Regions from separate parts of the Mus musculus genome. Here regions 1, 2, 4 and 5 are each reported to be linked to region 3. The links are microRNA targets in miRTarBase. Many come from high-throughput screens and were not tested one by one. Region 3 holds a microRNA gene; each other region holds the end of a gene's coding sequence.
What was found. The annotated mature microRNA mmu-miR-376c-3p reads AACAUAGAGGAAAUUUCACGU and lies in region 3 at 3,708-3,728, shown strand. An mRNA with a match to its seed (bases 2 to 7 or 8) in the 3' UTR can be bound and repressed. Matches are read on the target gene's strand: a 7mer-m8 pairs with bases 2 to 8, a 7mer-A1 pairs with bases 2 to 7 and ends in A, and an 8mer does both.

Region 1: the mRNA of Fzd3 is a reported target of mmu-miR-376c-3p. Seed matches in the 3' UTR shown: 7mer-m8 at 1,353-1,359 and 7mer-A1 at 4,597-4,603.
Region 2: the mRNA of Sass6 is a reported target of mmu-miR-376c-3p. Seed matches in the 3' UTR shown: 7mer-A1 at 2,111-2,117.
Region 4: the mRNA of Rs1 is a reported target of mmu-miR-376c-3p. Seed matches in the 3' UTR shown: 7mer-A1 at 2,837-2,843 and 7mer-A1 at 1,587-1,593.
Region 5: miRTarBase lists Iars as a target of mmu-miR-376c-3p. Seed matches in the 3' UTR shown: 7mer-m8 at 2,032-2,038.

What each region holds. Positions count from the first base shown.
Region 1 is chr14:65,197,453-65,203,790 of GRCm38, reverse strand. Fzd3 (frizzled class receptor 3) reads left to right here. Exons shown (of 7, transcript NM_021458.2): 7 at 859-6,338. The coding sequence ends at 1,072. Among named protein-coding and RNA genes, the nearest start is that of Gm30008, 26 kb to the right of the region's middle.
Region 2 is chr3:116,627,199-116,633,536 of GRCm38, forward strand. It overlaps Sass6 (SAS-6 centriolar assembly protein), which reads left to right. Exons shown (of 17, transcript NM_028349.3): 16 at 1,320-1,414; 17 at 1,510-3,788. The coding sequence ends at 1,616. It overlaps Mfsd14a (major facilitator superfamily domain containing 14A), which reads right to left. Exons shown (of 12, transcript NM_008246.2): 12 at 3,966-5,282. The coding sequence ends at 5,076. Among named protein-coding and RNA genes, the nearest start is that of Trmt13, 16 kb to the left of the region's middle.
Region 3 is chr12:109,719,063-109,725,400 of GRCm38, forward strand. It overlaps Mir376c (microRNA 376c), which reads left to right and starts at 3,656; the gene lies at 3,656-3,741. Mir654 (microRNA 654) reads left to right here and starts at 4,156; the gene lies at 4,156-4,239. It overlaps Mir376b (microRNA 376b), which reads left to right and starts at 4,396; the gene lies at 4,396-4,477. It overlaps Mir376a (microRNA 376a), which reads left to right and starts at 4,719; the gene lies at 4,719-4,786. It also overlaps Mir300 and Mir667.
Region 4 is chrX:160,793,507-160,799,844 of GRCm38, reverse strand. It overlaps Rs1 (retinoschisis (X-linked, juvenile) 1 (human)), which reads right to left. Exons shown (of 6, transcript NM_011302.3): 6 at 182-5,326. The coding sequence ends at 5,174. The region is part of intron 18 of Cdkl5 (cyclin-dependent kinase-like 5); the gene reads left to right. Among named protein-coding and RNA genes, the nearest start is that of Rs1, 29 kb to the right of the region's middle.
Region 5 is chr13:49,731,788-49,738,125 of GRCm38, forward strand. Iars (isoleucine-tRNA synthetase) reads left to right here. Exons shown (of 34, transcript NM_172015.3): 33 at 553-705; 34 at 1,872-2,480. The coding sequence ends at 1,954. Among named protein-coding and RNA genes, the nearest start is that of Gm23482, 21 kb to the left of the region's middle.

The DNA.
Region 1 (6,338 bases), not on the chromosome of region 3:
CTCTGGAAAACAGCCAGTGGAAATGTTCTCAACTGCCGAGCCATCTCTCTAGCCTATTGGTTTTTTTCTATTCTTACCTCTGATGTGGCTCAGTGAGTCAGGATTTCAACAAAAGAAAATTTGAACAGTCCCTGTTGTGTTTCTGGATAGGAAGGCTACCTGTAGTAAGCTGTGTAGCCCGGCTGATGTGTGCAAAGCCCAGCTAGGAGTGCACATAATTAGGAGAGAATTGGATACAGAGTATCAGGATGCAACTGCCAAGTAGACGTAACTTCTGTAAATTAGTATGGGCACAGCTGTAAGCCTGAGGAAGATAACTAAGCTCGCTTACAGATGATTGATTGAGCTGTTGACTAGCTCAACTAGACAATATGGGCACAGATGTCATCAGTGCGTGGCAGTTCATTCTCCTCTGGTTTCGAGTGTTCCTTCCTCCAGCCCAAGTCTTTTAGTAAAACTGACATTTGCACTGCTGCTGCTTTACCTCAGCTTGGAGAGTCTAAAGGGAGACCTCAGTCCCTTCCTCGTCTCTCTGATCCCAGTGTTTTTGAAACGTACTTGAGTAAGGAAAGTATCCATACTTAACATAGTTCCAAGTAGGTCGGCCTTACGTGGTTTCCTTTTGCCCTTTTGCAGGGAGTAGGACCTTCATCCTGGACCTAAGTGGATTATCTTTCTGTTAGCCACATTGGATAATTCTACAGCGTAATGGAATTACTTTAAATAATCATGTCAATTACTGCCTTCTCACTGTTGATTTACTGAGCACTTCAGTTACTAAGGCATTTTAATGAAAACTATTAGTCCTATTTTCTGGTATGTTCTGTTACCCACTTCAAAACCACCTCTCTTGTGCAGGTACACTCCCTGCAGTTACCGAGGAATGGAGGAGAGACTACCTCACGGCAGCATGTCACGGCTGACGGATCATTCCAGGCACAGTAGTTCTCATCGGCTCAACGAGCAGTCCCGACACAGCAGCATCCGAGACCTCAGTAACAACCCCATGACTCACATTACACATGGCACCAGCATGAACCGTGTTATTGAGGAGGATGGAACCAGTGCTTAGTCTTGTCTAAGGTGAAATGTGTGCTGTTGAAAAGCAGGTTTTAGTTTTTGCCTTCGCATGGCTGGCTGCTGTAACTCACTGTCGCTCTGCTTTCTTGGGCAGAGTGTGCCCACTGGGAAAGTAGATCTTTGCTCTTTGTATCACATCAACCCTGGGGTGTGAACACATCCCAAACCCTAAGGATCATGTCATCACAAAAGTAATTCTTTCTAGGCTGTGAAGAGATGATTGTCTGGTGAGCATTTTTATAAACATGCTTATTTTATATCTAGAAAAATCCTCTATGTGTGGTGACTGCTTTGTAGTGAATTTTCATATAATATGAACTAGTTGTGAAATGACATTCTGGTAGCTCTGTTAATAAAACAAAGTTTCAGAATTAAAGAAAATTTCTATGCAAGGTTTATTTCTCAGATGAATACTAGGTCTTTGTAGGTTTATTTCCACAGAGTGAAAAAAGGAACCGTTTTTAAACTGTAGAAGACTTTGATAAGCCAGCAAGAGTATTTTAGCTAAGATAACAGTGCCATGGAAGATCTGGTTGGCCTGTGGGAGGTTGTCTCAAAGTCTGTCAGTCTTCCCCCAAGATATGCAGGCTGTGGATGAGCACTGGAGTAGAGGCAGAGATGAGCATTCCCCTGTAATTGGATTGGGTTTTGTTTTGTAAATATTACTTTTATGGGCTATGCTTTTATAATATCCATATGCATGATAGAAACATTTTAATTTGTGGCCATTTTTCCCAGGAAATAGTAGACAACTTCATGTTCATATATGTTCTGTGGAGGCATGCAGTAAAATAAGCATCACACATTATAAGGGGTTTTAGTGGTAAAAAAAAAAGTTACAAATGGCAAAATATTTTCTGTGTATTCATTGTCGTATTTTTCTACAGTGAGATGTGATCTTGCCAAAGCCATTAGACCTTGGTACCCAGGCCCTCCTATAATGAGCTGATTGTCTGCCCCAGATTCCCCAGTAGCCAGTTGGCTACAGCTTTTGCCCACATCCCTATTTTCTGAATTACTCTGGTTTACAGCTGAAATATATACTCTTAAGTCCAAAATGGTGATCGACCTGGGTTCTTGAAAATCATTTTAACTAAGTGGAGCATGGTTACTCTTTCTGTGAATATCGTTTAATCTTAAAAATATCAAGTAAAAACCTCTTGACATTTTATTTTGTAAAGCTTAAATGATTTAGGTTATGAACTGTGAACTTTATTTGTATGAAATTGATCAGAAAGAAAAATTCTTGAAAATGCTAATATGTGATTCAGAAAATATAAGTGATCCTCAGCCCTGATTGCGGGTACAGATCACTCTGGAACTCTCAGTAGCCAACATCTTTCTGTCAGGTCTGAGTTGATGCTTTAAAAACAACCAGCTTTTCAGGTGATTGTTAGTGTAGCCCGGCTTGAAGCTGTTCTTTTAAGCTCACTTTCCCCTAAAGATAGGTTGATGGCATCAGATTTGACCACAGGAAGATGGAGCCAGACTCAGTAGTACACTTACATTGTTTCCTGATATGCAGTTGCTTCTTACTCTGCTCTAATCCACTATAAAATGCAGAATTCTCGGCTCTCCTCTCTAGAGAGTCTTACTCAATAAATCAAAGGCAGTAGGATTTCACAAATGTGTATTTCTAAAAATACCACAGAAGAGTCTTAGCAGGTTATCCAAGAATCACACCCAGAAAAAAAATATATATATATATACCCTAGACTCTGGAGAGGTCTGGCTTTGCCATATGCTAGTTTTCAACTTTGAACAAGTCAGCCTCCGTGAGCCTAGCTCCTCTTGTTTAAAGATGAAGATTGAAGATGAATATCTCCTCTACCTACCTCACAAAGTTGTCAAATTGAGATCAAATGAAAACAACAGTCTGGAAGCTCTTTGAAACTGAAGTGTTGTGAAATGTGCAGGATTAAGATTCTTGAGGACTAAAGAGCTTTATTGGAGGTCTACTGTAGTACATTTCTAGACACATGTTTAATTCGTGTGTCTGCTTCTCTCGCCCTTTAAAACTAGGAGTGCCCACATGACAGAAGAGCCAGTTTCCTGGTAGCCATGACTTACTTCTGTCATGTTGCTTCTCCGAAGTATGCATCAGTAGAGATTACCCATTCTTCATAAGACACATGTGAGCATTTGGCCCCACATGCTTTCTCTTTCCTCTGTCTTGCCAGCTTTCTCCTTGGAACTGGGGTTACCACTTGGAGAGGCCCAAAGTCCCTTATAACTGATAACTTGTCTATAAACAGATCAATAACTCATGAAGCTTCTGTCAGAGAAGCTCCGGGAACAGCATGAGCAAACCAAAACAAACATCCACAAACCAAACAGCAGTGAAGAGAGGAGACCAGTGTGAGCTCAAAGATGTCATCTGCCACCATCTGCATCACTGCCTATTGCCAAGTGCTAGTTGGTTGTCTTTTAAAGTGGGCCAAGTGTAGACAGTGAAGAGAGCATTGCCATGAAAGTCTCACCTTTGTGCTTCCAGAGTTTGTGTGTGTTGTTGCATTTCCTCTTGCTTTGGTAGTGGTGATGCGTATATGGATAATGTTAACCTTACAGTCACCTTCACCAAGTACCATCCTTCACTTGTTCTGTGCACTCAGCACAGTACTGTTTGGTTTAAGTAGCTGTTCAATTTGGGCCATGCTCTTTATCATGTTACTGCGCCAGGTTTTAAGAATCTTTTTTTTTTTTTTTTTTTTTGAAGAAACCATTGAAGAATGACAGCAGAACAGTTAATTCCAAATCTTAACCTGTTTAACTTGTCTTGAACAAGTCTGGACAGTTTTCTTACCATATAGGTTACTTTAATTTCTGTTGTGATTGGCATATGTTAATACTTAGTGTTTTCTTTGTTCAATTGACAACCAAGAAAATGATAGTGCCCTCTAAAATGTTAATATTATTAAAAGGGTTTTGAAAAGAACTTTGATTTTAGCAATATGGTTTTATTCAATAATTAGGCAAAAAGATCCAAGGCAGTATTAAGCTCAAAACAGTAATTTGTTTCAGAGAGCAGTTGATGAATAACAATTAGCACAGGGCTTAGTACAGAGTAAGCTTTCCAGTAAATGTTTAGCGACTAGCTAACTACATGGCACTCAGACCATGAGAATTGTTTTTATACACACACACCCCCATTGTGAATTTGTTAAAAATCTGTGTAAAGTAAGAATCTTTTCAGTTTCACACAAAAAAGATGCAAGAGATAGGAGGTTTATAGAACCTAGGTTCATAAGTAAACTCAGGATTCGTTTAAGCTTCTTTTATGCCTTTTTGTGACAGCTAGGATGAGAAAAGCTTGGGATTGCAGAAACAGGTCAGTGGGTAAGTGGACCTGCTGCTCTTCCAAAGGACCCAAGTTCAGTTCCTCCCTCCCTTGTGCTCACAGTGCCTACTGTAGCTCCAGCTCTGGGGATCTAACATTCCCTTCTGGCCTCCTGACACCAACACACTTGTAACACACACACATAAATACAAAATATGAAAAATGTTCATTTAATTCAACTATGTATAATGTATATACATTTACATAAATTTGATTACTGTATATGGAAATGCATTGGCATTTGTACATCTCTTCTGGCTTTCCTTCCTTTTCATTTTTTGTTGTTACAGCCACATGAGTACTGGGACAGGCATAGGAAGAGTAGGCATGCCTCCCCATGCGCTAGACTACAATTGCTTTCTCTAATCTAATTCTAATCCTATTTATCTTTAGTAATTATACTGATACAGAATAATGCTTATCTTTCAAGATCCAAATCTGAGAGAGAAAAAACAATATTAAAAGTCTGTTCAGACCGCCATTTTAGTAGACATAGGAGTTTAGTTAACTTATAGTCAGCACATAGTAGTAAGTATGTTTATCCCTGTGTTCTCTAACTAGGAAGTCTGGCTTTAAAGGTTTTTTAAAGTTTCCTCTAATATTTTGATCAAAGGTCGAGGGAGTACAAAATGCATTAAGTTCAATATATTTAACTATGTTGAATGATAAGTTATATTTACCTTTTTACCTAAATAGTCACCAGAAACCTATCTTGCCCTTTTCGGGGATTTTTGGGGGGATGGTAGAATTGTTTATAATTGACTCTAGTTTTATTAGCACCACTTCCCATAGTTAAAAATGTTTTCTACTGTCTAATAATTCAAAAGTTTAAAATTTGCCAGGGGTAGTGACACACATCTTAGCACTCCGGAGGCCGAGGCAGGAGAATCTCTTGTGAGGTCATCCTGATCTTCATAGTGAGTTCCAGGGCAGTTAGGACTATATAGAAGACCTTGTCTCAAAAAAGAAATAAAGATTAAGAAATCTTAAGGTAAAGATAATTAAAAATTAGTAATTTTTATTTATAAATATTCAGTGTTCTATTATTCTACTCATTACCACTATCGAATTAGTACTTTTGACTTTTTCGAGCTTGTTATATTTCTTAAAGCAGATAAGTGTATTATTTTATTAGTAGTATTATGGCCTTAAGCTTTTTGGTATATAATCGGGCTTGCTCAAATTTGCAGACTTTTAGATGATTCTTTGTTTTTGCTACCTGGCTTTTTAAAATTTAGAACTCAATGGCTTTGTTTTGGCAAGGTTTTAGTTAATAACTAGTAAGAATGCATTGTGTTATTTTAAAAAATATCCAAGGATTTTTGAGTCAGGAAAGCTGATATCTAGTTTTGCCTCTCCTTTCAGTGAGCTCTGTTAACCCGATAGAGCATTTTTGTTTGCAGTTGAAAGGAATTCAGGAATTAGATTAGGAGTCTCAGATTCCACCAGACTCTAATTTGTTTCTCCCTTGACCATTTTATAGTCATTGTTGAGAGCTCACTTGTATTGTCTTCCCATAAACTCTGTTTGCTCGATCAGCTTACTCAGCTAAGGCAGCTGCACTCTAGGACCCCAGTGTTAGAAAAGTATCCTGACAGTGGGCTCCATTTCCAGCCCCCTCACAGACTGGCTCAGGCTGATCTCAGAGGCTTAGGTGTATATCCCAGGCTGGCTTTGAGCTCATGGAACTCTCACCCTTGCCAGGCAAGTGCTGGGATTTCAGACATGCCACCATGTTCTAACTTAAGCGATTTTTAAAAGAGGAAAATTATAGATAATAAAAGTAAAAGAAGTTATAAATACCAGGCATGGCTTTTAATGGGAAAAATTTAGATGTCAACATAAGTTGATAAACAAAAGAAATGACATGATATTTTTGATATTTGTTCTCTTAATTATGAATATAGATTTTCTAGTCCAG
Region 2 (6,338 bases), not on the chromosome of region 3:
TTCTCCTCTTTGAAAGTCATTTTTAAGAAAGATTTCAGTGTTGAGTGTTTTGCCTGTATGTATACACAGGTGTACACATTTGTCAGGTTCCCACAGAGGTCAGAAGAGGATAGCAGGATCTCGTGCAACTGAAGTTAGAGGACTGTAAGCTGTCGTGTGAGTGCTAGGAACCCAACCCAGGCAGGCCTTCCTTCTCAAGGACTGCAAGTGTTGATGCTGCAGCATTTTTGTAGCACTTTAAAAGCCACATTAGAAAATGCTGGCAGTGTTTGAAAGCCTTGTATTTATCTATGACTGCCATTCTTGTTGAGAGCGGGTCTGACTCTGTGTCGCTGGCTGTCTTGAAACTCAGTGTGTAGACCAAGATGGCCTCAGACTCAAGAGAAATTGCTTGGCTCTGCCTCAAGTGCTGGGATTAAAGGTGTGCGCCACCAAGCCCAGCTTATCTAAGATATTTTATGTTGAAAATTTAGATTTTTAGCTTTGAAAAAGTGATTTCTCTTATGTGGTTTTAAGTTATAGGACTCCGCCCCCCTAGATAATATAGTAAAAGATTGTCTTATAAGTAAAGACTGCTTTTACAAGTATTTGGATCGGTACATAGAAGTCCCTTTTAAAGCTAGGCATGGTGGCACACACTTTTAATTCCACCATTCAAGTGGCAGAGACAGGTAGTTTTCTGTAAGTACAAAAGCCAAGGCTCCACTGGGAGACCCTGTCTCAGAGAGGGCTGCAGACATGGTTCAGTGGTGCTCCTCCAGAGGACCTGGGTTGGATTTCCACACCCATATGGCTGCTCACAAGCTCTGTAACTCATCTTCTGGCATCCATGTGCAGACATATATGCAGGCAAAACACCCACACACGTTAAAATAAACAAACATACGTGCAGTTTTTTAATGGTACTCTCAAATCAGTTATGTATTTTTCCTGTCACGTTACGTATGCCTTTGTTCTAATACGGTATGTTGTGGTATGTTGTATTGACTCCAATAAACTCAAGATAATATTCTCAGTATATAACTTGCTTTCTTTTGTATTTTCTCATCTCCTCATCTTTGCTGTGATATATATAATCTTACAGTACTCATAGAATTTATTCTTCTTGTAGTCTTTGTCCCAGTTTTAGTATGATGTTTGACCTTCACCAAGGGAGGACACAGGTATGGAGTTGTTCAGGCATCATATGATCACTTAGGTGGTCAAAAAATGTTGTACTAAGGTATTTTAGAACATTTTGATTTCTTGTCAACTAGGAACACTCAACAGAGAAAATGAACAATAAAGTGAAAATTAAGACGAAAATTATTTTTTTTAAGTGGTGAAACTTTAGGATTGGAATCCAAATACTTGAAGAGAAGAGAAGCTAGCATTCCTTTACGCGGACTTAGCCAGAATCTGTTGAGTGACTCAGGTGAGGAGACCTGTGACTGAGTGAGTGGAGTGGTACAGTGTGGATCATTACATGTGCTTAAAGCAGTGACATGCTACGTGCTTTGTCTCTTGCAGACCATCAGAAAGACGGCATGCTGGGAGCGTTCCAGCTATCTTCCAAACCCACCGTTCTCCCCTCCTCGTCTTCAGCCTACTTCCCTGGGCAGTTACCAAGTAGTTAATCCAACACCTTTTACTGCTCACCGACAGTTTAGGAATTCAAGTGATTTAACAGACTATTGATAACAAAATCAATTTTTTTCTGGTTCCTGTTAGGTCATTTGGATCCTTTATAATACTGCTGCCATTTACAAATTTAGGAAATTGATAAGGATGCTGAGTAAATGGTATTTTTTTTTCTGTGAACAAAACAGAATGTTTCAAAAAGTCACTGGATTGTATCAGATTCTTACCAGTTGGTCTGCTTAGGGACACTTTATCAAGATACACCTGCAGGGAATATAAACTGAAGACTTGTGATTCATTCGATCATTTTTATTGTAAAAAAAAAAAAATCTTAATCTGCCACCTGAGAGCTGGGAGAGCTTCCACCTGTGACCATTGAGCCTTACATTGACTTTACATTCAGTTCTCATACAACTTTCAAAGTTTTTTTTTTTTTTTTTTTTTTGAGACAGGGTCTATTATTATGTAGTTCAAGCTGTCCTGGAACTGGCTATGTATGTAGACCAGGCTGGCCTCAAACCCAGATCCACCTGCCTCTGTGTCCCAAGACCTAGGACTAAAGCTGTGTACCCACCAAGCCTGAGTTACACAATATATTTGGTTTATAATTTCTCCTCCCAGATGGTCTCCAGTTTCCTACCCACCCAATTTTATGTTCTTTCTCCCTTAAAAAAGAAAATAAAAATAACCAATCAGTAAGATAAAAATATCAAACCAGCCGGGCAGTGGTGGCGCACGCCTTTAATCCCAGCACTCGGGAGGCAGAGGCAGGCGGATTTCTGAGTTGGAGGCCAGCCTGGTCTACAGAGTGAGTTCCAGGACAGCCAGGGCTGTACAGAGAGACCCTGTCTCGAACCCCCTTCCCCCCCCCCAAAAAAAAAATCAAACCCAAAACAGTGTATTCGACCTTGTGCTAGTCAAGTCCTGGGTATGGGCATTTGGAGTTTGGTTGATGTACCTAGTGACACTCTTAAGGATTTTGAGTGAAATTAAGTATTCATAGTGAGTAAATCATTTTCTCTGAAATAATTTTTATATAAAAATCATTGGGACAGTGTATTTACATGACTGAAGTGCTTTAGTCATCTGGGCATTCCATAAAGATCATCAGTGTAATAACACCATAAAAGTTCATGGGACTTTTTATAATATTAAAATTTGTCATCAGTGTTAATAAAGCAGGAGGAGAGTTAACTATTGGAAATTACAACTTCCTCACTATTAAAAACTTCCAAGAACTATTCCTTTGAAATTAAGTAGTTTTAAAAAACAAAATGAAACAAAAAACCAAAAACAACCCTCTATAATCTTAGAGGTCTAATTTTGTTTTCTTGTTGACAACCACCCAAAGGAAATTAAAATTCCAAGACCCCAAAAATCTTATCTGTAAAATGTTAACAATCATGTGATATTTTAAGTTTCAAGGGGCTGAAGAGATGGCTTAGTGATGATCGGCACTAGCTACTCTTTTCAGAGGATGTGGGTTCTAATCCCAGCACCCACATGACAGCTCACAATTTTGTCACCCAGAGTGCATCAGGCATGCATGTGGTTTCTAGGCAAAACATTTATACACATTTTTTTTCAAGTACTTTACACTGTTGCAGACATTTTGAGACAGTGACGTAGAATCTTTAGCCTCACTTTCAGGATGATGGCTATTGCTAGCTGTCTTCAACGAGGGCTGTTATCACAGTTCAGTGATGGGAAGAATATTGCTATAACTACTTGAAAGCACTTATTCTGGAAAGAAGTCTCTCTATGCAGCACAGGACTGTTGTAAATACTATAGAATAAACCTAAGAGCTATGGCAGCCTTTGGAAAGGGATACAAGACATATATAGCTTTTTAGAAGAGATACCCTCCCCTTACTATTTATAAACCTGTTTCCACGATAGGACAGCTCATTTCCACGCAGGGTGTTGGTGACCTGTCTCTGTGCTAAGTGTCCACACACACAGATAGCGCCAACTCTCTGCTCTACCTCTTCTGCTTTTGTCTGAAATTGTTTTGTGTTGTATAACTGTACATGTGTTAACCATCAGAATGTTGCTTTTTGCTATTTCTGAAAGCTGTGACCTTTGTCAATAAAGCACTGAGGCTTGAGCGTTTTATATGCAAGAAGCATGTTTAGGAAATAAAAGACTAACTGTGCTTAGGAAATCAAGCATTTCCGGTTGACCTACACACTTCGTTATTTTTATCTTCAGGCTTTTTGTTTTGTTTTTGGTGAGGTGAGGTGAGGGCAGCAAATGGATTGCAGAAGGTAAGTTAAGGTAAGAGGATTTGTTACTGTAACAAAGCCTAAACCGGCCTTACAGGGAGGGACTCACAGATCAAGACCTTTTTAAAAAGAAAAAAATCATTAAAATATTTAATTTTATTAACAGAATATTTACATTTGAGACCTTATTTAATCATAGTGAATGCTCCAAGTTTAAAAAGCATTAGGCAGTAACCACACACAAGATGAAAACAGTGTAAACTATACAATACTTTATGTACATTTTTACAAAGTAACACTTTTTTAAATAATATAACTGGACACAAAAATATACACTTTAGAGAAATTCACATCAGTAATTGTATAAAGCTCTCTTCTAGGGTCCTGAAAATTTAGGACAAACATTAGCTCTGTAAATAAAGTGTTACTGTGACAGTCCTGAAAGGCCACTATATATATTTATCTACATATAGATATCACATTGACATTTTCAAGGCTACCAGCTTTACTATATAATTTTTAGATTATGTATTCAAGTGTTGAGGTCCTTATGATTATGCAAATATCAAAAGAATAGTGGTATAAGAAGCAGAACAGATTTAAACAGATTGAGCCAGATGGCTAGGCTCTGACCACCCCAATTTGAATTCTAAGTGGCTGATCTTTTCATTCTTCAGAACAGCCGTGAATAATGCTTTAAATAAAATTATGGCAAACAAGCTTGAAACATGATTCTGGTTTTCTACAATTTTCACAAGTTCTTTTAAATGCAAACAATTCTTTACCATTTCTTTTCTAGTGCATCTGCATTAAGGCTTTGAATTATTTGACCCAAGATTTTACAATGACTCAGGTTTTACAAGGTTAAAGCAAACAGGTCCATAACCATCCTGCCTAGTGTCGCTGAGTCAGCACGAGCAGGTAAAGGCTCAACACCTAAGGAAATGGCAGAGACGGAGTTACAGATAGAGCTTTAATTAAAGATGTGTAATAAAACAGTTTAGTGGCAAGAGAGTGGTGCTAATATAAACAAAAGGTTTCTTTTTGAAAGAAAGTGTAACATCTTTGGAAAACTGTCCGGTTCTTTCTTTAGTTCCCACGGAGTTCATGCAAGTATTTCTTAAGACAGTCTTAAAGTACACTGCAGATGGAAATGGAATGTACATCCAGAGCTACAGGTGAAAACTAAGACCTGGGTGCTGCGAGAGAGAGAAGTCTTCCTGATTTCCGTCACACATTCGTGTCCTGGAGTAAAGGTTCTTTGGCCTCTCCTGGCGCTTGTGTACTGTGAGGATGGCTGTGACTGCCACAGTGCTTCCTCCAACTGCTGGACCTTAAACTTAAATTAGTGTGTTCCGGAATAAACAAGGCAACGAGCAGAGCCAGCAGTACCGAACAGGCTCCAAAGAGGAAAGGGGGACCAGGGATGATGGAATTCTGAGGAAGAAACAATAGTTAATGTTTTTTGCACAAATACTCCCCCCAGCCCCCGTCCCCAGCCTCCAATGTCTCAGCAACTGTCTGCTCAGATTTTCTTTTTTTTTTTTTAAAGTCAATGCCTTTATTGAAGCAATAGCTATAAAATCACTTTTCAGGAGAAAAGGTATTTTTATTCTTATTGTAAAATCCTGCCAACAAAAAAATGGCAAAGTGGGCTGGAAAGATAGTTCAGTGGTTAAGAGCGCTGACTGCTCTTCCAGAGGTCCTGAGTTCAATTACAGGCAACCACATGGTGGCTAACAACCATCTGTAATGGGATCTGATGCCCTCTTCTGGTGTGTCTGAGGACAACAATGTGTACTCAAACCTTTAAAAACAAAAATCAAAAACTGGCAAAGTAACTTGGATAACTGTGGGTGGCTTTTAGCACAGAGCCTAAACTACACATGTTAATAATACACCTGTAGAATCGTGTTTCAAAAATAAATACAATGCCACTAACCACAAAAATAAAACATTTTAGCCCAAATCATATTCATTGTGGGCAAAACCCTACAGAAACCCTGTTTCTGTTGTATATGGCCCACAAAATTAAATAGGCTTGCCTGGGGTTCAATTCTTGCTTAATCGAGAAAACTGCAGAGATGTTAGTATTGGCTCAGTGGTCCATGTGGTTTGGGGTTGGTAATTTCAGTTGGGAAATAAAGCAAGCAAGTCAACAAATGTCCACCGTGCGTACATTCCATGTGGCCATAGATGGCAGCTGCCCAGCACTCCAGAAGTCAGAAGGAAAGAAAGTAGCAGGGTGGAATGGAGATGTGGCTGCCATGCCATTAGGCACAAATTGACAAAATGTGGTTTCAGGTGATTTTTTCATTTTAGTTTTTGCAAGATGATACTCGGGAAGAATAGTCTCTTAGGCTTTAGTTATTTTTTTTTTTAAGATTTATTCATTATTATATGTAAGTACTGTAGCTATCTTCAGATACCCCAAAAAAGAGGGTATCAGATCTCATTACAGATGGTTGTAAGCCACTGTGGTTGCTGGGAATT
Region 3 (6,338 bases):
CCCAGAAAATTATAAAATCCAAACAATAGCAATTTAATCAAACAGCCAATACAAGCCAAACCACCAATTCCTTCTGGAGACATGTGTCTAGATGTCAGCTGCAGGTGTCTTTACCAAGATATGTCAGTTGGTGAGTGTCACATAACACTATGACTCTAGAAAAGCCTGGGCCCCAGATCAGCTCTTTACCAGCATCCTGCCATGTCTACGGGCTGTGCTCTTTGATGCCATTAGCAAGGCCTTGAGGACTGGTGGGTGCTGGCTACGATTGGGACCAGGGAACAGCAAGCTGTCATCAGCCACTGCTGCCTGTCTCTTATCTCTGATACTGGTACCCCTGCCCTCTGGAGTGGTAGATGTAAGGCGGCACTTCAGACCCCTTTTCCCTAGTGAACTTCTCTTTATGGCTAACATTCTCTGGTAGCCTCCTCATGGCATCAAAATTGCCTTTGAGTGTGGTTGTTTGAGCAGGGCCCTTTGGTGGCTCTCTTGTGAGAGTGGGAGGGAGGATACAATCCAGAGAGTATGAGAACACCTCATCCATCCATCTCCCCTGGAGGGTTTCCGAAGCTGAGCCAGTACAAGATATGGGATCACTCTTAGGCAACCCTTTGCTAGGATACTAGCTATTTCTTTCTTTGCTCAAGTTGGAATAAAAGCTTTGTTTATACTTACGTGGCTCAACAACCATAGCGCATCAAAACCCAGTGCAAACTCCATCTAAGAGGTACCAGGATTAGCCACACACTTAGCTCTTAGTTTCTACTGGCTCAGTGATGCCCTTGGGCTGTGGCTGTACCTGTGTTTTGGCTTCTGCCTATAAAAGATGGAAACACCTTTGGAAAAGCAGCAACTCTCCCTTTATACCCATGGAGAAAGGCTAAGGGGCATGGAACAAGCATGGTCAACCCATTTTCTTAGGTTGAAAATCCCTTTCCATCTAGTGGGTACTGGCCTCGGTGCTGGTGGAGCAGTGAGCACGCCATACATTATATCTGTGACACCTGCCACCCAGCCCAAGGCCCCTAGGCCCACAAACTTCTGGAGGGGAGTTTGTCTTGGATTCATCCAAGGAATGCAAAGGACACCTGGACAGAAATGCCTCTGGTGGTCATCCCAAGGTAACCGGACTTGTTCAGTTCCATTTCACATTTAGCTTTGTGCTTTATTGGCAGGCTTCTAAGGGCTGCTATTCACCCCTACATCCCAGGTACGTATAGGCCCAGAGGGAGCCTTCCATCTTTGAGGGTAGAATATTCTCTGGGCACAATACCTCACCAGCTGTCTTTTTCACAGGAGAAGCCTGGGCAGGATTGCCGCAGCTGTTCCAAGAGGCCCCAAGGGACAGTGTCCACATCATGGTGTTTGTTCGTGGAAGATATTAAACGCTGACCTCTTTTTGAGCACAAAATCCCTCCTTGAAGGGCTCTCTGTACCCGGTGTCAGGTTCAGGAACACGATGTGGGCATCAGCCCCTTGCTGATGGTATGTGAGCAGATGTCTGGCCAGATGGCAAGTGCTTTTGTTTATTTATTTTCTTATTTTGAGACTTGAGAGTTTATTGAATGAATCATCCTATAATCCAATTTCCCAAGGCAAATCTGTACATAAAAATCTAGTTTCTATCACATCGCTTCCTTCTTAATTGATTGACAGATTTGAGCAAAAACATGTCTAGCCTGCATTTCAGATTTTGAGAATTTTAAAGAATATACTCTGCCCTTCCCAGGTTCGCCTGGATCTAACCAAACGGACAAGCTCAAATATCAAATGAAAAATGATGAGAGCAAGATGAAGGTGGGAATCTCTATGAATATGTGGCACCCATATTGATTTTTTTGTATAACTCATTTAATATAACAATTTTCGATAACATTTTTTTTGTAGCAAGTTTTCATTGTAACCCAGGATACCTTTGAATTTCTTAGGTAGCTGAGGCTGACTTTGAACTCCTGCTTGCCTCTGCCTTCCAAACGCTGGCATCAAAGGTATGTTACCATAACCAGCTCAAAACTGTTGCTCTTGCAGAGGACCATAGTTCAGTTCCCAGCACCTAGACTGGATGGCTACAAGTTTAGCTTTAGGGATGTATTCTTCTTGCCTCCTTGGGTGTGCCCACATGCATACACATGCACGCATGGATAGTGAGACTACAGAAGGCAACAGACCTTGATCTCCTACCTCTACACATAGGCAAAGCAAGCATACTGGCACCACCACACGCGCGCGCACACACACACACACACACACACACACACACACACACACACACACATGAACCTAAACGTAGCTGGACATTGTTCCTAAAGAGCAGACCCAGTTCACACACAGCTACATTTGCCGTTGCTGCTCCTAGGGTCAGGACAGATGAACACATTTGCTCCCGTAACCAGCTATCAGATCCCCTAACGAATTCTGTCCTGCTTCTTTCTAGGGTCTCCTGGCCTCATAGGGCACTATGAAAGGAAGCAGGTGTAGCCCACTGGTAAGTGACCTATCCATGCACTTGAAGGTGTTTGTGAGGTTTTCTGCTTTAACAAGCTGTAGATACAAGGAGGGGCCTTGGCTCTTTGGGGCGAGGCCTCAGCATCCTTGGGTCCTCTTGTCTTTGGTTACCCAGCTTTATGAAACTCTCTGGCCAGTTCCTACTTTATTAAAACATGACCCATGACAGCACCACTATTTGGACATATATGGGAGGGCTGGTCACAGAGCATATGTTCTATGTGTGGGGACTATCACCTGGCCTACTTGTCTTCGGCCTCAAGGCTAAGATGACGAAGATGTTGGAGTTAATTAGCTGAGTTGGGGTTTTCAGTCCTTCTTTGCTTTTTTTTTTTTTTTTTTTTTTAACCAAAGATTTATAGTGTCGGTACTGGTATGCCTCTGTGTCTGATGTACTCAAAAAAGATTGGACAGGAACTTGAGCTAATCTTGTAAGGACCTGGTAGTGTGGTGATAGTAAGTCATGAATGTCCTGCTTAGCCATGTCTCAAGGTGTCTTTTATACCTATCCCCAACAGTGTCACACTAATGCATTGAGCCTGTGTGTTGGAGCCTTCTGGACTTAGCCCATTTCCTAGAAAACTTCCTTGATGTCTCCAGTGCTCCGTGGCACCTACGTGGATGCCCCAGCAGCCACCTTGATGACATCTCTCCCAAGGGTACCCAGGATGGGCTGTATGGGTGTGGAACTGGTTTTGGAAATCACAAGGGAACAGATTTCTTGTCATAAACTCTCTAAGAGGGGGTGGGGGTTTACAGTAACTCCCTACTAGGCTGTGTGACAACCAGGGCTATGTTTAACTGTACGGTGGGCTCTAGATACACTTCTGTCGCTCACTTTCTGATATTCAAAAGGTGAGTGCTCCTCTATGCCTCTGGTTAATCATAGAGGTAACACCCACATTTTCAGTATCTCAAGTGGTTCTGGGATGTTTCTGAATACAAAGTGCCCCCTAGGACAAAGCAGGTTATTCCAGTCTTCCCCCACCCAGAGAACAAAGGGAGAGATGGGTTCCACAGCCTGTGCTTTCCACAGCCAGGTTGTTCCTGGAATCTGTGTCCTCTGGGGGCTGTGCCGAGGGCGCCTGTCTGCTGCCTTCTTCATTTCTGACGGATTAGGCCTCGGCTCTTTCTCTTCAGGACTAAATCTTTTGGTATTTAAAAGGTGGATATTCCTTCTATGTTTATGCTTTTTGTGATTAAACATAGAGGAAATTTCACGTTTTCAGTGTCAAATGCTGCTGGGTAATGGGCCTGAGCTGAAGCCACCACCAGGGCAGTGACAGGACAGGTGCACCCTCTTGGGTAAGTGGGGGGTCAGTGGTCCACAGAGCATGTCCTCAGGTGCCCAAGGGCCAATGAGCAATCTTGAGAGCTTCCCTCATGGGCTGCCAACTCAGCCAGAGGTCAGGGGTCTCGTTCTGGAATCCCCCACAGCTAACAAGTCTTTCCCATTGTGTCCCTTCTGTCGCAGATAGGACTGTCCTATTGGATGTCCCAAGAGTTTAAGTCTGATATCTAAAAGGTAGATTTCCCTTCTGTGGTTTTATGTTTGCTGGTCAATCTGATGGGTTTGCCTGAGTTTTGAGTCTCATGTGCTTCCTGGGTGACATGATCCACCAGGGAGATGAGGCTGGGCGCAGTGCCCTCCTCGGTAAGTGGGAAGATGGTAAGCTGCAGAACATGTGTGTTTCTCATGTCATATGTCTGCTGACCATCACCTTTGGGTCTCTGCCTGTGGAGCCAGCTTGGCACAGAGGCCGAGGCGCCTTTCAACATTCTGTTTCCTCTGCCTGAGAAGCGGGGATTTTTTTTTTTTTTTTTGTCTTGTAATCTGTTTCAGATGAGCCAAGCAGCAAGCCTGGTCCTTCCCGGAACTCAGTCCTTCTTTGGTATTTAAAAGGTGGATATTCCTTCTATGGTTACGTGCTTCCTGGATAATCATAGAGGAACATCCACTTTTTCAGTATCAAATGTCGCTCTGGAACTATTTCTGGAAGATTCTGTAGGGTCTGGGGCTGGGGGGGAAGATCATGTAATAATGAGTGGGGCGTGGCCAGAAATGGCCTTAAGAAGCCAACTGAGTGTTAGTCTGATCTGGGTCTGATATACCGCCTCTTTGGGCAGCCTGCTCACTCTGCCCAGTGGACTTCCATTTCTGTCGACACAAGCACAAGCTCACAGCATCCTGGATCGAGTTGTTCTTTGATATTTAAAAGGTAGATTCTCCTTCTATGAGTACAATATTAATGACTAATCGTAGAGGAAAATCCACGTTTTCAGTATCAAATGCTGCTTGGGAAACCACCGAGGACATGACATCTTCACCGAAGAAAGCGTGCTATCCGTCGTCTTCCTGGGCTTGGCGGGGATAGATAGATTTGTGACTTGTGTGATGTGTGCCTATATGCCAGCCTCTCCCAGTGATGTGTTCTGAGACCACTGTGTTCTTTATATCCCTTCTCTGACCTCAAATGAAGTTGTTTCTCTGTGTGCTCACCATGTGTATGTTTTCTGGAGTCGGCTTCTTTTTTCTGTAGCGATATGTCTTGGAGAGCTCCTGGGTGGGCCATCATTTTGGGTAAGGGCGCCTTGGGTAACCCTTTGGGGGGTGTGCGGAGAAGGGGGGGCATGTGAATCATCTGGAAGTGTAACCTCCAAATGTGCCCCCTCAGGCTCACATCCGGACCGTCATCGCATCTGTCATCGCACCGGACCAGCTCTCCCCAGCGCTCCTTATCGTTTGCTACTTGAAGAGAGGTTATCCTTTGTGTGTTTGCTTTACGCGAAATGAATATGCAAGGGCAAGCTCTCTTCGAGGAGCAAATGCTGCCTGGAAGCATGGCTGGCGGCGGCCTGGGCCTAGCAGAAGGGTGTGGTCTCTCCAGGGTAAGTAAATGCATGGTGGGCCACCGAGCTTGAGCTCCTTCTTCGTCTGACCCTACAGATCTCACACATGCTTCTGAGAACTTTCTAGAAAAAAATGCTGATCCTAAGGGCTGTTCTTGGTAGAGCCTAGGAAACTGTGCCTCCCCTTCTGACAGCCCTTCGCAGTGTGGTGTGCATGCCAGGTCGTCTTCTAAGGCCAAAAGAGTGTCAGCAGCAAGCCAGTGCCCATTTAGATGTGGGTTTTCTGCCCACCATTGCCAACCTGTCCTTACAATCACCTTTAAGGCTTCCCATCCACTTAAGGGAAAGGGGGTTGGTGGATATCCAAAGTAAAGATGCTCCCAGAGGCTACCAAGACCATTAAGCCTCCTTCTCCAGGTGTCCTCTTCACCTTGTGTGTCACAGCATGAATTTATGTTAAGGTTGTCTAAAGAACCTTGGTTCTGGGGGTCGGGTGGAGGTGGGGCATCTCACCTCCCTCCGGTGAGCCTTGCATGGGTCTGATGTTTATAGTGATAAGTCTCCCATAGTCCTCTGAACTCCCCAAGAAGGGCAGAAGGAAGGTCCAGAGGTCTCCATACTGCTCCAGTTTGGGGAAGAGGGTGGGGGCTTTCAGAGAGCTAGTTTTCCGGTTTTTCTTCTTTCTTGAATGATGCATGTTGCTGTGCGTACTAATCCTGCTCTTTCGATGACCATCTGGAGGACTTCCTGGAGGCTGCAGCTGTGGGCACAGGTGGAGGCTTTCTTGCCAGGGTGGCTTTGCAGGCTCTGGAATGCCAATCATTCTCTGTCACTTTTTTGTTAAGTTACACAGAATCCCCACCCCCACCCCACCCCATGCCCATCCTCCCATGCCCCACCCTAGTCTTTTGGAAGATCACCCTGTTTTGGAGTGATACTGAGAAGTAAACTAACTTTAGGGCTGGGTACCAGTGTGCAGAGTA
Region 4 (6,338 bases), not on the chromosome of region 3:
TCAAAGAGGTATACTTCCATCTGCATTCATGCAGTCATTCAAAAACTTACTTGTGGACAGTCTTCTTGGCAGTGAGACCTGATTCGTAGCAGTTTCTCTACTCTGAAATATCTTCGCTTTATCCATATGTCTTAGTTTGGGTTTTATTGCTGCTGTGAAAAGACACCATAACCAAAGCAACTCTTAGAAAGACAACATTTAATTGGGGCTGGCTTACAGTTTCAGATGTTTAGTCAATTATCATCCTAGCCAACAGCATGCAGGCAGACATGGTGCTGGAGAAGGAGCCAAGAGTTCTATATCTTGATCCAAAGGTAGCCAGAATACTGTCTTTCGGGCAGCGAGGAGGAGGGTGTCAAAGCCCACTCCCACAATGATGTACTTCTTCCAACAAGGCCACACCTACTCCAACAAAGCCACACCTCCTAATAGGCCAAGCATATCCAAACCACCACACTATATAACCTCCCACATCAACTACCAGGATTACTTCCATTTTTTTCTTAATATCATTATTTAATGCTTCACAGTTAACTAAAAGTATGTAAATTGTTATGCTTTACCATAATGTTTTGTTTTGTTTTGATCTGCAGGCTGCAGAGAGAACTCAATTGAAGAGTATTTGCCTACCATGTATGAAAAACCTGGGTTATGTCCTCAAAACCATAAAAAATAAAATCCTTAATAACCCAAAGTCTAGTGGTAAAAATAAACAAAATGTGTTAAGATAGGAATGACTTTCCTCCATTATATAATCTTTATTGAATTAGTTGCCCCCTAAAAGAAATAATATTGCAAACATATTTTTTGTTTAATAGGAAGATTCTTTTTCAGGTTTACTTTAATAATAGGGTTTCTTTTATATATATATCCTAACACAAAAGGAAGAAAATGCTAACATTTTCATTAACTATTGAAAGAAAATTAACTACAGATAAATATCTTGCAGATCTTAATATCTCATTGTTTATTTAATTTTGAAATTGAAAACATTTTCCATTGTGAGACCCCTGGCTGGCTTATTTACAGATATACTTACTTAGAAGTTTAAGGAACCCAGAATAGTTAGTTCAGTCTTGAAACATAACCAGAATTGGAAGATTTATATGTCCTAATTCCACAACTCACTACAATGCTACAGTAATGAAGACTATGTGGTAATAGAATTATGAGGCCTAGCATATACTCTAATATTCTTGGTCAGTTGTTTTTGGAAGAATAAAGACCATTGACTGTGGTGAAGACAACACAAGCTACCAAGACAGCTGCATATTGATATCCAAAGAATGAAATTACACCCTTACTTTATAACTGTTCACAAAGTAAGAGTTAAAACTTTAAAACTTTTTAAAAATTTTTTTTCAAAACATTTAGAAGAAAACACAAGAGTGAATCTTCTTGACCATGGTTTGACAGTAGTTTCTCAGATAATACACCAAAAAAGGAAACCGGAAGGTTGGACTTCATTAAAATTTGGTATTTGTTGTGCTTCAGAGAAAGGCCAGGTGTGGTGGCAAATACCCAGAATCTCAGAACCTGGGAGGCAGAGACAGAAGGATCTTTGCAAGTTCCAGGCCAGCCTGAGCTACATAGTGAAATCCTGGTGCAAAACTAAACCAAGACAATGACAAGAAGAAAAACAGGATGGAAGAAATGTTTGCATAAGAGAATTGTATGTAGAACACCCAAAGAACTCTTAATGAATCCGTGAAATGAAATCTTTATATGGGCAAGGGTCTGAATAGAACTTTCTCCAAAAATATGTCACTGGTGACTTGAAAAGATGCTCAAAAAACATTGGTTATTAGAGAAATGCAAATCAAATTCATCATCGAATGCTACTTCATACATACTAGGACAGATCTAATGAAATACAAGAAGCATTGCTAAAGATGAGAGGCTGGAAGCATTAGACATTGCTGGTGGGAACAGAAGATGGTACAGCCACCTGGAGAAATAGTTCCCAAGAGACCCAACAATTCTCTATTCTCAGTGTGAGTATGCCCAAGATAAAACATGTCCACGCAATAACTTACATATAAATTTTCATGAAGCAGCATTATTCATACTAGCCCCACCCAAATGCATGGATAAATAATAATACAATACCCTACACAGAATGTTAATAACAAAAAAGGAGGATGTACTTCTCCAACACATGGACTTTAAAAACACTATGATAAGTACAAGAAACAAGTCATAAACTACTATATATTCTAAGATTCCATTTGTGTGGAGAAATGCCCAGAATGGAAAAAAAATCCACACACAAATAGAAAATGGATGACGAGTAATCTAGAGCTGTGGTGGCTGATGGCCCATTGTTAGAGGATTCTCTTGGGGGTGATAAGAATAGTCTAAAGTTACTTGTAGTGATGATTGTTCAAGTTTGAATATACTATATTGAATTACACACCTTAAATGAATTAGGACTGTTTATGTGAAGTTAATGAAACTATTAGAAAACAAATTTATGGCATGATTTTTTAATTTGATGACTATTTACCCATGCCTTGTACCATTTGGGTTTTTTTCTCCCTGATCAGTATTCTTAAGTTATTGCCATTTTTCTCTAACAATTACTCAGTGTGGTGAGAAAGGTAACTCAATTTTCCAAATAAAGGTCTGCTGTCAGGAATATTATCCAAAATGAATTTGTACATATGTAGTCATACCAGGAATATTGTTGTACATTGCCACACATACACACACACCTGTGGAACTCCAAAATACTAGGTAGGAAATTTGATGCTATTAAAATGTTGTTCTATTCACTGAGAAGAATGTGACATCCAAGATCATTTGATTGATGGATTGATTTTTGAGACAGTCTCACTACATAGCCTTGGCTGGTCTGGAGCTTGCTATGCAAACCTGGCCTTGAACTCACAGAGATCCACCTGTCTGTGTTTTCCCAGTGCTAGGATTAAAGATGGAAGATACCATGTCTGGCCATCCAAAGTTATTTTGGTGTGAATCCATGTAATCTCCTTTAATACCTGGAAATAGAAAATAGCTCAGAGAAAAGTACTAACCAAGGCTGTATTGTGTGTGTGTGAGGCCAAGACCTTGTCTCTGGGCAGTTCTCATTCTCAGCTTCTCCCCGCATGCCTTTTTGACCCTCACTCCAGTTAACAGCCTCTCCCAGAGAAGAGCCTCAAACCCAGCTTGAGCTACAGATGGAAATGAGCTAGAGACCAGTAGTCATTCTCTCAGGCTCCAAAGCTCCTGATTAAATGAGCTATTCCTGCCAGAGAATGACTACCGAAAGAAGTTTCAAATGTCATGTCTGAGTAAGCATGTTTGGGTGGGCAGGACGGGAGGAAGCCGCTCGGAGAGAAGGCTTTTGTGGTTTTATTTTTGTTTGTTGTTGTTGTATTTTGTTTTTCCTATTTACATGTTTGAATGGGAAACAAAAAGGAAAAGGAAAGGAACATGACTTGTCCTAGGTATGGTAGAGGAGAGAGTTTATGGTAGATATGTGGGAGAGCATAGCCAGAGGCAGGGGCATCCGGGAGAGAGTCCAGAATAGACATGAACACTCTAAGCTGGGCCTTGTGAGGAGAGGAGGGAGGAAAAGAGATAAGGGAGAACAGAGGAACCAGATGCAGCAACCAGGAGGCCCAAAGGTACAAAGAGAAAGGGTGACCAAAATAGTTGGATTATATAGGGAAGAAGCCCAACCCCCTGGGCTGAAGAGTTTCGGGGTAGGGGGCGGGGTATGCCAACTAGGAGGACCTGGTAGGGGCTGAGAGATGCTGGGAGAACCTTAACTAGGCACCTCTGCCATTTGCCCCAGGTTTGAAACCTACCAGTGTATGTGTATGTGTGCATGTTGGACAGAGGTTGACATCTGGTATCTTCCTCAATAGCTCTTCACTTTAGTTTTGAGACAGGGTCTGACCATGAACCTGGAGTGTACTGATTGGCAGACAAGCTCTAGGCATCATCCTGTCTCTGCCTGCCTCCTAGTCCTGGATTTGCAGGTGTGCCCCTCCATGCCTGGTCTTTTTTTCTTGAAACAGGGCCTTACTGTGTAGCCTTGGCTAGCTTGGAACTGCTATGTAGACCAGGCTGGCCCTGAACTCAGATCTGCTTGCCTCTGTCTTCCAAATACTAAGACTAATGGCATGTTCCACCATACCTGTCCATACCTAGCTTTTTACATGCATTCTAGAAATATAATCTCAAGTTCCTATGCTGTACAGCAAGCCCTTTACTGACAGATCATCTGTGTACAGTCCTCTATGATAGGAGTCCTAACCCCTTCCCCCAAAGCATGATCTCTTCCCAGTAGATAGAGATATGGTTTATCTCAGCTGTTTTCTAAGCCTGTTCAATTTCTGGGAAACTGTAGCCATGGATAAAGAAGGTGTGATGTATTCTAGTTATTTGGGCTTCCTCAGTTTAAGGGAAACCTCACTATCCACACACACATATAGCCTGCCCCTTGCATTCATCTCCAGGCAATCACAGAAGGACACATTGCCAAAAGGGCTGTAGAATGGAGTTTCTGCACAAGGAGCTCCACCCCTTCCAGGCAAAAGCAATTCCAGGGAGGGGGAAGCCTTGACTGGTTGGTTAGTTGGTTAGTTGGTTGGTTGGTTACTGGCTCCAGACTCGTGGGCCATACGCCAGGCTTCCTTCTGCTTTCTTCACACCTATGTACTTGTCACCAGGCCTCTATAGTGAGGATTTCATGCAAGTGTTCATGTGAGGCTTTGCCAAAGAGTACGCTCCTCTTCTGAATGTGCTAAGAGCCAAAAAGAATTTTCAAATTATCAGAGCTGCTTTGTGTTCCCCTGGGCCTGCACCTTTGACGGTGTCACTGAGACAAAGAGAAAAAGATGGGGAGCCAGAGCAGCAAATTACCCCTGCTATTTGGGTTTGTGTAAGAAAATTGGTTTGAGAGATACTTTCTTTGTTCTTATTTTCTTTGGCCCTGAGTTGAAGAAAAGCTTAAAAGCTTCTCTCTCTCTCTCTCTCTCTCTCTCTCTCTCTCTCTCTCTCCCTTTGAAATTTGAAACTATCTTTTAAAAAGTGAAATATTCTCTACCCAGATCTACATTGTAAAGTGCTTATAAGATATAGCCCCATTCATCCCAGTGGTATTTCAGGGTGCCCTCCCCCCAAAGCTCTCCCTGCAAGTGACAGAACTGAGCTGAAATAGACATCAGGCACACTTGCTGGCACACTCAAGCAGCTCCATCCGGATGGCAATTCGGACATGCCAGCCTAGAGGGATCAGTCGGATGAAGCGGGAAATGATGGGGGGCCTGAGTAAGTTCTGAACTGTAGAACTCCGGTCTGAGTTTCCATAGAAGACCTAAAGAGAAAGAGGAAGCCTAGTCATTATCACAATAGAGGAAGGAAAAGGACAAATGACTTCTGACTAGAGCTAGGTGTGTGTGTGTGTGTGTGTGTGTGTGTGTGTGTGTGTGTGTGTGTGTGTGTTTTCTCTCCTACCATGTGAGTTCTGGGCCTTGAACTCAGGATACCATGCTTGGTGGAAAGTATCTTTACCTGTTGAGCGCTATCTAACTTGATCTAGCCTCAATTTTGAACAATGGAAAAACATAGAAAGTATATTGAGTACAGAAAGCTTGCAGCACCCCATAAAACCCGAATGGATGTTGCAAGCAGCTCTGAGGATGTCTGAGTATGCATGGGGACATTGCACTATGCAAAATGGTAGCAAGTAGCCATGTGTGCCCAGTTAAATTTATGTGAAGTAATAGTAGCTGAAAATTTAGTTTACCTGTGTGTGTGTGTGTGTGTTTCTGTGTGTATGTGTGTGTTGCCATGTCCTCGTATGTGCTAAGCAACCAGTCTCCCACAGAACCACATGCCCAGCTCACATTTAAAGTTACTCATTAGCTGCTTTCCGTCCTCACAGATAGCCCTATTGGATGGTTGCTACAATATGCCTCTTGACTTTTCTTTCTTTTTTTTTTTTTAACAATTTTCCATTTCTATCCCTTGTACTTTGACAGAAAGTTTTGAATGGGGCCACAGCATACAAGAGAGTTCATATATCCCAAAGATATCCAAGATGCACTCAAGTCAAATCTTGTGCCTGGCTATGGAGTTGGAAGCCAACGCATAAATGTGTAATTTTTTTTTTTTTTTTGTCTTTGATACAAGTGACAAGTGCCTTTTGGGCCTGGAGAAAATAGATTTTAACAAACAGACAAAAAATAGAGGGAAAATTCTGGAAAGGAGAAGGTGGTGTTGACATAAAGAGATAAAAGGGTTTAATGTTTTTCAGGAGGCAACGTTAAGATGTTGCAGACACTTGACAGTAGTTCTGAAGAAATCACTCTTCGCACTCTTTCCAG
Region 5 (6,338 bases), not on the chromosome of region 3:
CCGTGCTGCCTCAGGGCATACACTTGTTTTGTTTTCGTTGTTTTGGTTTTTTTGGTATGTTTATAGAAAGACCACCATCATTTTGGCAATCAGAAACAGAAATACCCTCGAAGGTGGAAATTACATCTACGTGAAGTGACATGCGTGAACTATTGATTAGGCAGTGTGAACTTAGGTTCTTTTCTTAGAATCTGTCCTGAAAAGTTGGACACCTCCAGGCTCGACCCACAGGCACCATTGCTGCCTTTCTTTCCCCACATTTCAGGGACCTCCTTGTGCACATTTCTGCTGGAATCCTTGTCTCTTCACCTGAGTGTGCACTGAAGATCGATTCCCCAGCAGCTGGCTGCCATGTGTCAGTTTCTCTCCGTCCCCCTCTTCCTCACCTCTATGAACTGTTTTAAGATTACCTCTGTACATCCTGTGCCTCCAGCTTAAGCTCCTGCACCCACTTCACAACCTTCCTCATTGCCGTTTGGTGCTGTCTACAGTCGCTGCTGGTGTTGGAACATGAGTCCTTGGGAATAACCCACTTTCTTCCTTTTTCCCTAGAGTGTTTAACAGGAACTGTGGGCACCCTCCTGCTTGAAAACCCACTCGGACAGAACGGCCTCACCCACCAAGGGCTTGTGCATGAAGCAGCCAAGGTGTTCGGACTGAGGAGCAGGAGGCTAAGGCTGTTCCTGAATGAGACTCAAACACAAGGTGAGGCGGCCGTGACGGTCTCTGAAAGGTGTCAGTGGTGCCAGTAGGTGGGGAAAAAGTTTTGAGTATTTGTCTTGTTTTGTTCATTTTTGCAGTTTCTTCAGAAGTTAACCATAATGTAGTTAAAAATAACAGTAACCTAACAGAGAAGTGTCGCTGAGCGTAGAGCGCCTGCCTAGCAAATTAAAGTGGGGATAAGATTTCATTTCTTTAGAAATAACCTGAACATTTACACTTCTAGGTAAAGTACTATATTTAATGATTTTAAATTTAAAAGCAGTCTCTTCAAGAGTCAACTCTGATTAGAAACGTTTAGCTGATAGTCCAGCTGATCCCATCTCTTTTCAGTCTAAGCATGCTGCATGCATTTCCCACAGAACACCCAAAGATCGTGAACAAGAGTTGACATGTTTCTCAATGCCTCTCTATTTCAGGCTGATCCCTCTTTCTTACTTTTGCTTCTTTCAGGGTTTCCCCTTGTCTCTGGTGCTCTGCAGTCTGACTATGCTATGCCTAGGTTTATTATATGTATGATGCGGGCATGGGGGGCGGTGTCTGTGTGCTGCCATCACCACTTCTAATGCCAACATAACCTCAGGCATTTCCTCAATCCACCCTCATATTCACAGACTCACTAACAGGCACCATACTCACAAACTGGTTATTATACCAACCAGAGCTAACCAGAGGACGAGCTGTGAAGGCAAAATGGGAGGTCACTAGGAATTCAAGCCATCCTTTCCTCGTGGAGGAATGGCCGCTGTTGCCTCCTCCCATCCCCGAGAGTGTAGTCACCAGGTATTACCTCCCAGGGAAGTTTGGTGCAACTTGGGACCCAGAACTTTGTTGAGGATTAATACGTAGGCTCAATTAATTCAATGCCTGCATGGTTGGTCTGTGTCTCAAAGGTTACCAACCAGTCCACACACTTCGCAGCTCCCTGCCCTCAGTCACCTCACTAACATAAGATAATATGTAATCAAAGCCGTACTGTAAGCAACAAAGACAAACCTATCAGGACGTGCCAAGAGTTGAGAGATTCCCCACTAAAAGCTAGGACAGAAGTCAAAGTGGCCTTAGAATGGGCCTCAAGATAGGCAGTTAACATTTTTTTATATGTTTACTCATATAGAATATTGACTTTTTGAAATTTTTCTCTCTTCTAGAAATTACAGAAGATATCCCAATGAAGACTTTGAATATGAAGACTGTATATGTTTCTGTCTTGCCAACAACTGCAGATGGCTAACAGCTATCAGTATGCCTTCAGTCAGTCTTCCTTGAATCTACCCATCTCCTTATACACACACTCACACACTCACACTCTCTATGTCTCTCTCTCTCTCTCTCTCTCTCTGTCTCTCTCTCACACACACATACACACACACACATGGGTTCAGTGAAGTTATCTCCTTGGGCACTTGTCAAATATGCTGCTTTTAACCGGCGATTCTAATGGGATTGACTGACTGGAGACCTCACATCATGTTCACATTTAACCTTAAACACCTATGCAGTCATGTTGGGGGAGTGTCCCAATGTTACCTCAACACCACGAAGCTTATTTCTATACTGGAGTTCTTCAGTATAGAAAGTGGAAGTGGTTTAAATGGCATAGTACATATACATATATATATGGCCTTGTAAAACAGATTTGAGACCTTGTGAAGAAATGGATATGTTATATATTTCTGCTACCTGGATTTTCCTGGGTAATTTGATGGAATATTTTACGTTTGATTAAATCAAAACAGTAAACACTCTCTTAGATACTGTGTTGGAAGTAGTTATTCTCCCATAGTTTAATGAAACTTGAAATCTGTAATCTTTGAAAGACTAAATTTAACCACGTCTACATATTAAGACATCGAATGAACATCGAATATTACCTCTTCCCAAAATTCTGGGTCCTCAAAGAAGCAGCTGCCAAGACAAAATGAGATGGTTGTACACTTTGTTATGGCAGTAGACATAAGTAATGGGTGTCAGCAGGAGCAGGTGTTACAGACTCCACACTCCCACAGTCGGACAGGGAGAAAGGGATCTGGGAAAGCCTGGGGTGCAGAGGAGCGTGGATCACAGCAGAGACAACCATTGCTAGAAAAGGAAGGAAGGAAGGAAGCGGGAACACTGGGCGTCTAGTGCTCAAAGGCTCCACTGTACAGAGCTGGGTCTTCATGCCAGCTCGCTCAGGACTTAGGGCTCATTTATAGCATGGACGTTTTTGTTTAACCTTATTTTAAGGGTGCTCTGGTGGAGTTCTTATAAGTACATGCGTTGCATGTCTAAGAAGTATCTGAAGTCTCCGCCCAGGGGTGTGTTTTGGTATTATAATGAGCCTCTGGACTAGGACAGCGGAGGGATTTAGTTTGCTTCTTGGGGTTTCCAGCCATCTTCTTTGGCAGTAGGTTTCTGATCGTTTTGTAACATTTGTGGGAGGCTTTCTTGCCTTCACTCTCCACTCTGCTTTCCTAACTCACAACTCTGTAACAGTCATTGCAAGCACAAAGTTATCAGGCAAAGATTTTATTTTTTTATTTTATTTTATTTTTTTTAGCATGTCAGTTTGAAGGACAGCCTGGTTTAGTGTCCCTGCCTCTCATAGTCAGTGTCTAGGAACAGCTTGAGGTTTATGGCCTTGGCACAGATGCCTCAGTGTATGTTACGGTGCGGTAGCTGAATGCTAGCAGCCAACTCATCAGATTCTTCAAAATGGATTCTTTGGAAAAGCCATCTGAGTGATGCAGGCCCACAGCCATCAAAACACCACAAACCCACCAATTGGACGAGATGGGAAACAACAACAGCTAAAATAGGGGAGAACTGAAAAACGGATGGGTGGGTGACTGAAGTGGTAGAAAAGTGGTGGAAAAGCTCAATTGTAAAAGCAACAAAGCAACGAAAACCTAAGCAATGTCCAGCTCAGAATCCTCAGCACCAGCCGAGAGACTGGGAGAACTGGTGAGTGGAGAAAGCTGGACGGCTTCATCTTCATGGTTTTAGACACGGGCTCCTTGTACGGCTGTGGCTCGTCTGGAGCTGCCTGCCTTGCAGCTCTCTATCACCAGTTGGCTTTTGGAGGTTCCTCCTCTAGAGAAGGCAAGTTTGGGTGTCTTTACTCACCAATTGTGTTATCTGTCACCTGGAGCCAGGATACATTCCTGGCACCAAAGCGTGACAGTATACGGAACATCGGCAGCCAGGAGCCACCACCTAAATAACGGGCACAACCAACTGCTGTTATGATTTATCTCAGTCTAGGTCAGCTGGTACTGCATGACCCCCAAAACTCCACATGACGATTTTTCTGGGGCTGGAGAAATGGCTCAGCGGTTAAGAAAAAGATCTTTCTGATGTGGTTCCCCACCTGCACACACAATTAAGACTACAAATTGGGTCAAGCCTAGCCATAAATCACATTAAAATTATGTAGTATGGCCAGGTGAGCAAACATTCCTAACTAGTATAATGTGTCAAAGGACACATTTCCCCTTTAAACTGGAAAGAGTAGCTTTGTACCATCCACTACCCCAGAGAACAAAAACATCTACACCAGAGGTTACCTTTAAAATCTCACTCTAGGCCAGCAAGATATAAGACTGATAGATTATCTAACTTTGATCCCTAGGACCAACATGGTAGAAGAGAAACTGACCCCTACAAGTTGCCGATGATTATCATATGTACATTGCTACAAATACACAAGAAGTTTGTGTGTTTAATTAAGGCTTGCTCTGAGAATCCTACAATTTAGGGTCAAAGTTTCAAGTGCCATTGGCACTGAATAGGAAATACCTGTACAGAGAAGCGGACAAGAATATCTTGTGGAGTGTGGAGGCATATTCCTTTAATCCCTGTACTCAGAGACAGACAAGTTTATAAATTCAAGGTCCTTAAGAGGTTGTACTATCTCCCTGGTGAGCACAAAACCAAAGCAACTTGAAACAGACAGGACAGTCTTTGGGCTTTCTGCCTTAACTCTTCCCTACACTAAGTAAATCATGGCTTCCGTCTGTCTAGGCCAAAGAGCCACTACAGCATGCTCTGGTGAAAAGCTACTGAAGGAGAAAACAGAACCTTACAAAGCCTGGACTTGGCACAGGTACAGCTGGACCAAACCTCTCCTAAGCCCAAGGCCTAATGCTGTCTTGACAGATAGGATCTCAACAAGCACCCCAAGGGATGGGACACAAACTTAGTCCATATCATCTCAAAGTAGCTTTATGGTTTCCCAGAGAGAATGTACCTGTACCTTGTCAAAAGAAATAAAAAACAAACAAAAACAAAAAATAAAAAACAAAAAGACTAAAGTTGAGCCTCTGCACTTGCAGGCGACCAGAGTTCAGTTCCGAGCGTTCTCATTGGTTAACTCCAAGGTCATCTCAGCACTTACTGGGCTCCTCGGGTACTCACAGAATACTTGCAAACACACAGATAAATCTTAGAAAGTTTACCAATATTGGGTGCCAACATTTAAAATGTTTTATATGCACTAAATTGTTTGTATGTTATTAAGTGTTCAAAAATTATATGAAATTTTGTATATGTAGAGGTTTTTCAAGGCTCTAGTGGTTTGGTGTCTCTACTTATATTGCTTTTCCTGATATTAGATAACAAATATCAGTCAAAATTCCATTTTTTTTTAAAAAGGTTAATATACTTCTTTATGTGTATGAGTTTTTGTCTGCCTGTCTGGGCACCACATATGTGCCTCGTGCCCACAGATGCCAGAAGAGGGCATTGGACTCTCTAGAACTGGAGTTAAAGACAGCTAGGAGCCACCACGTGGGTGCTGGGAAGCAAACTCAGGTCCTCTGGAACAGCAGCCAGGGTTCTTAACCATTGAACAATCTCTTCTGCCCCCAATTCTTTTTCTTTTTTGATTGCTAACTAGGTCAAATTTGATATATTCTAGGCTGTCAATTTTCAGGAGTGAATTCATATCACTTGATAAAATGTTATTAATAAGCATGTTTAGGGCATTTTTTTCGTCAAGTAAATGTAATTCAATTCCTAAACATCATGGTTGTAAACAGTCTTTTACTGCCACATGTATGTTCACTCACTTGCCTTAAACTTGTCTTTGTAAATGAACCACTGATCCTATTGTTGCTAAATTTTAATCAGAGTGAGCACTCCCATGTGTGGAATTTCCACATCTCTCATAGTGGCACACACCTTTAATCCCAGGACTTGGGAGGCAGAGGCAGGTGGATTCTCCTGTGAGTTTGAAGCCAGCCTTTATAGTGAGTTCCAGGACAGCTGGAACTACAAACTGAGACCTGTCTTGTGAGTGGGAGGAGGAAGAAAATGTCAATTTTTATCCAGGCACCTGAAGATTGAAACCTAGCAATTTAGATGTTCTAACATTCTATAAGGGAATTGTTAGACATACCTACTAATATAAACAGATGAGTTGGTTTTCAGAAGAAAATCACATTTCCACATGAAGGAAGAGATTCCACAACCTAGACCCTTAGCTCCTTGGAAGTTCTATAACCAGACACTAATTGGAACGCTCATAGAAGGGCACTTATAAGGGGCCTTACCTCTAACATTACCAAGCACCTGTTCTGCTCAACCCTGAACTAATAATGCCTTTCAACTAGCTAGGTACTCCAAACAGTCCACCT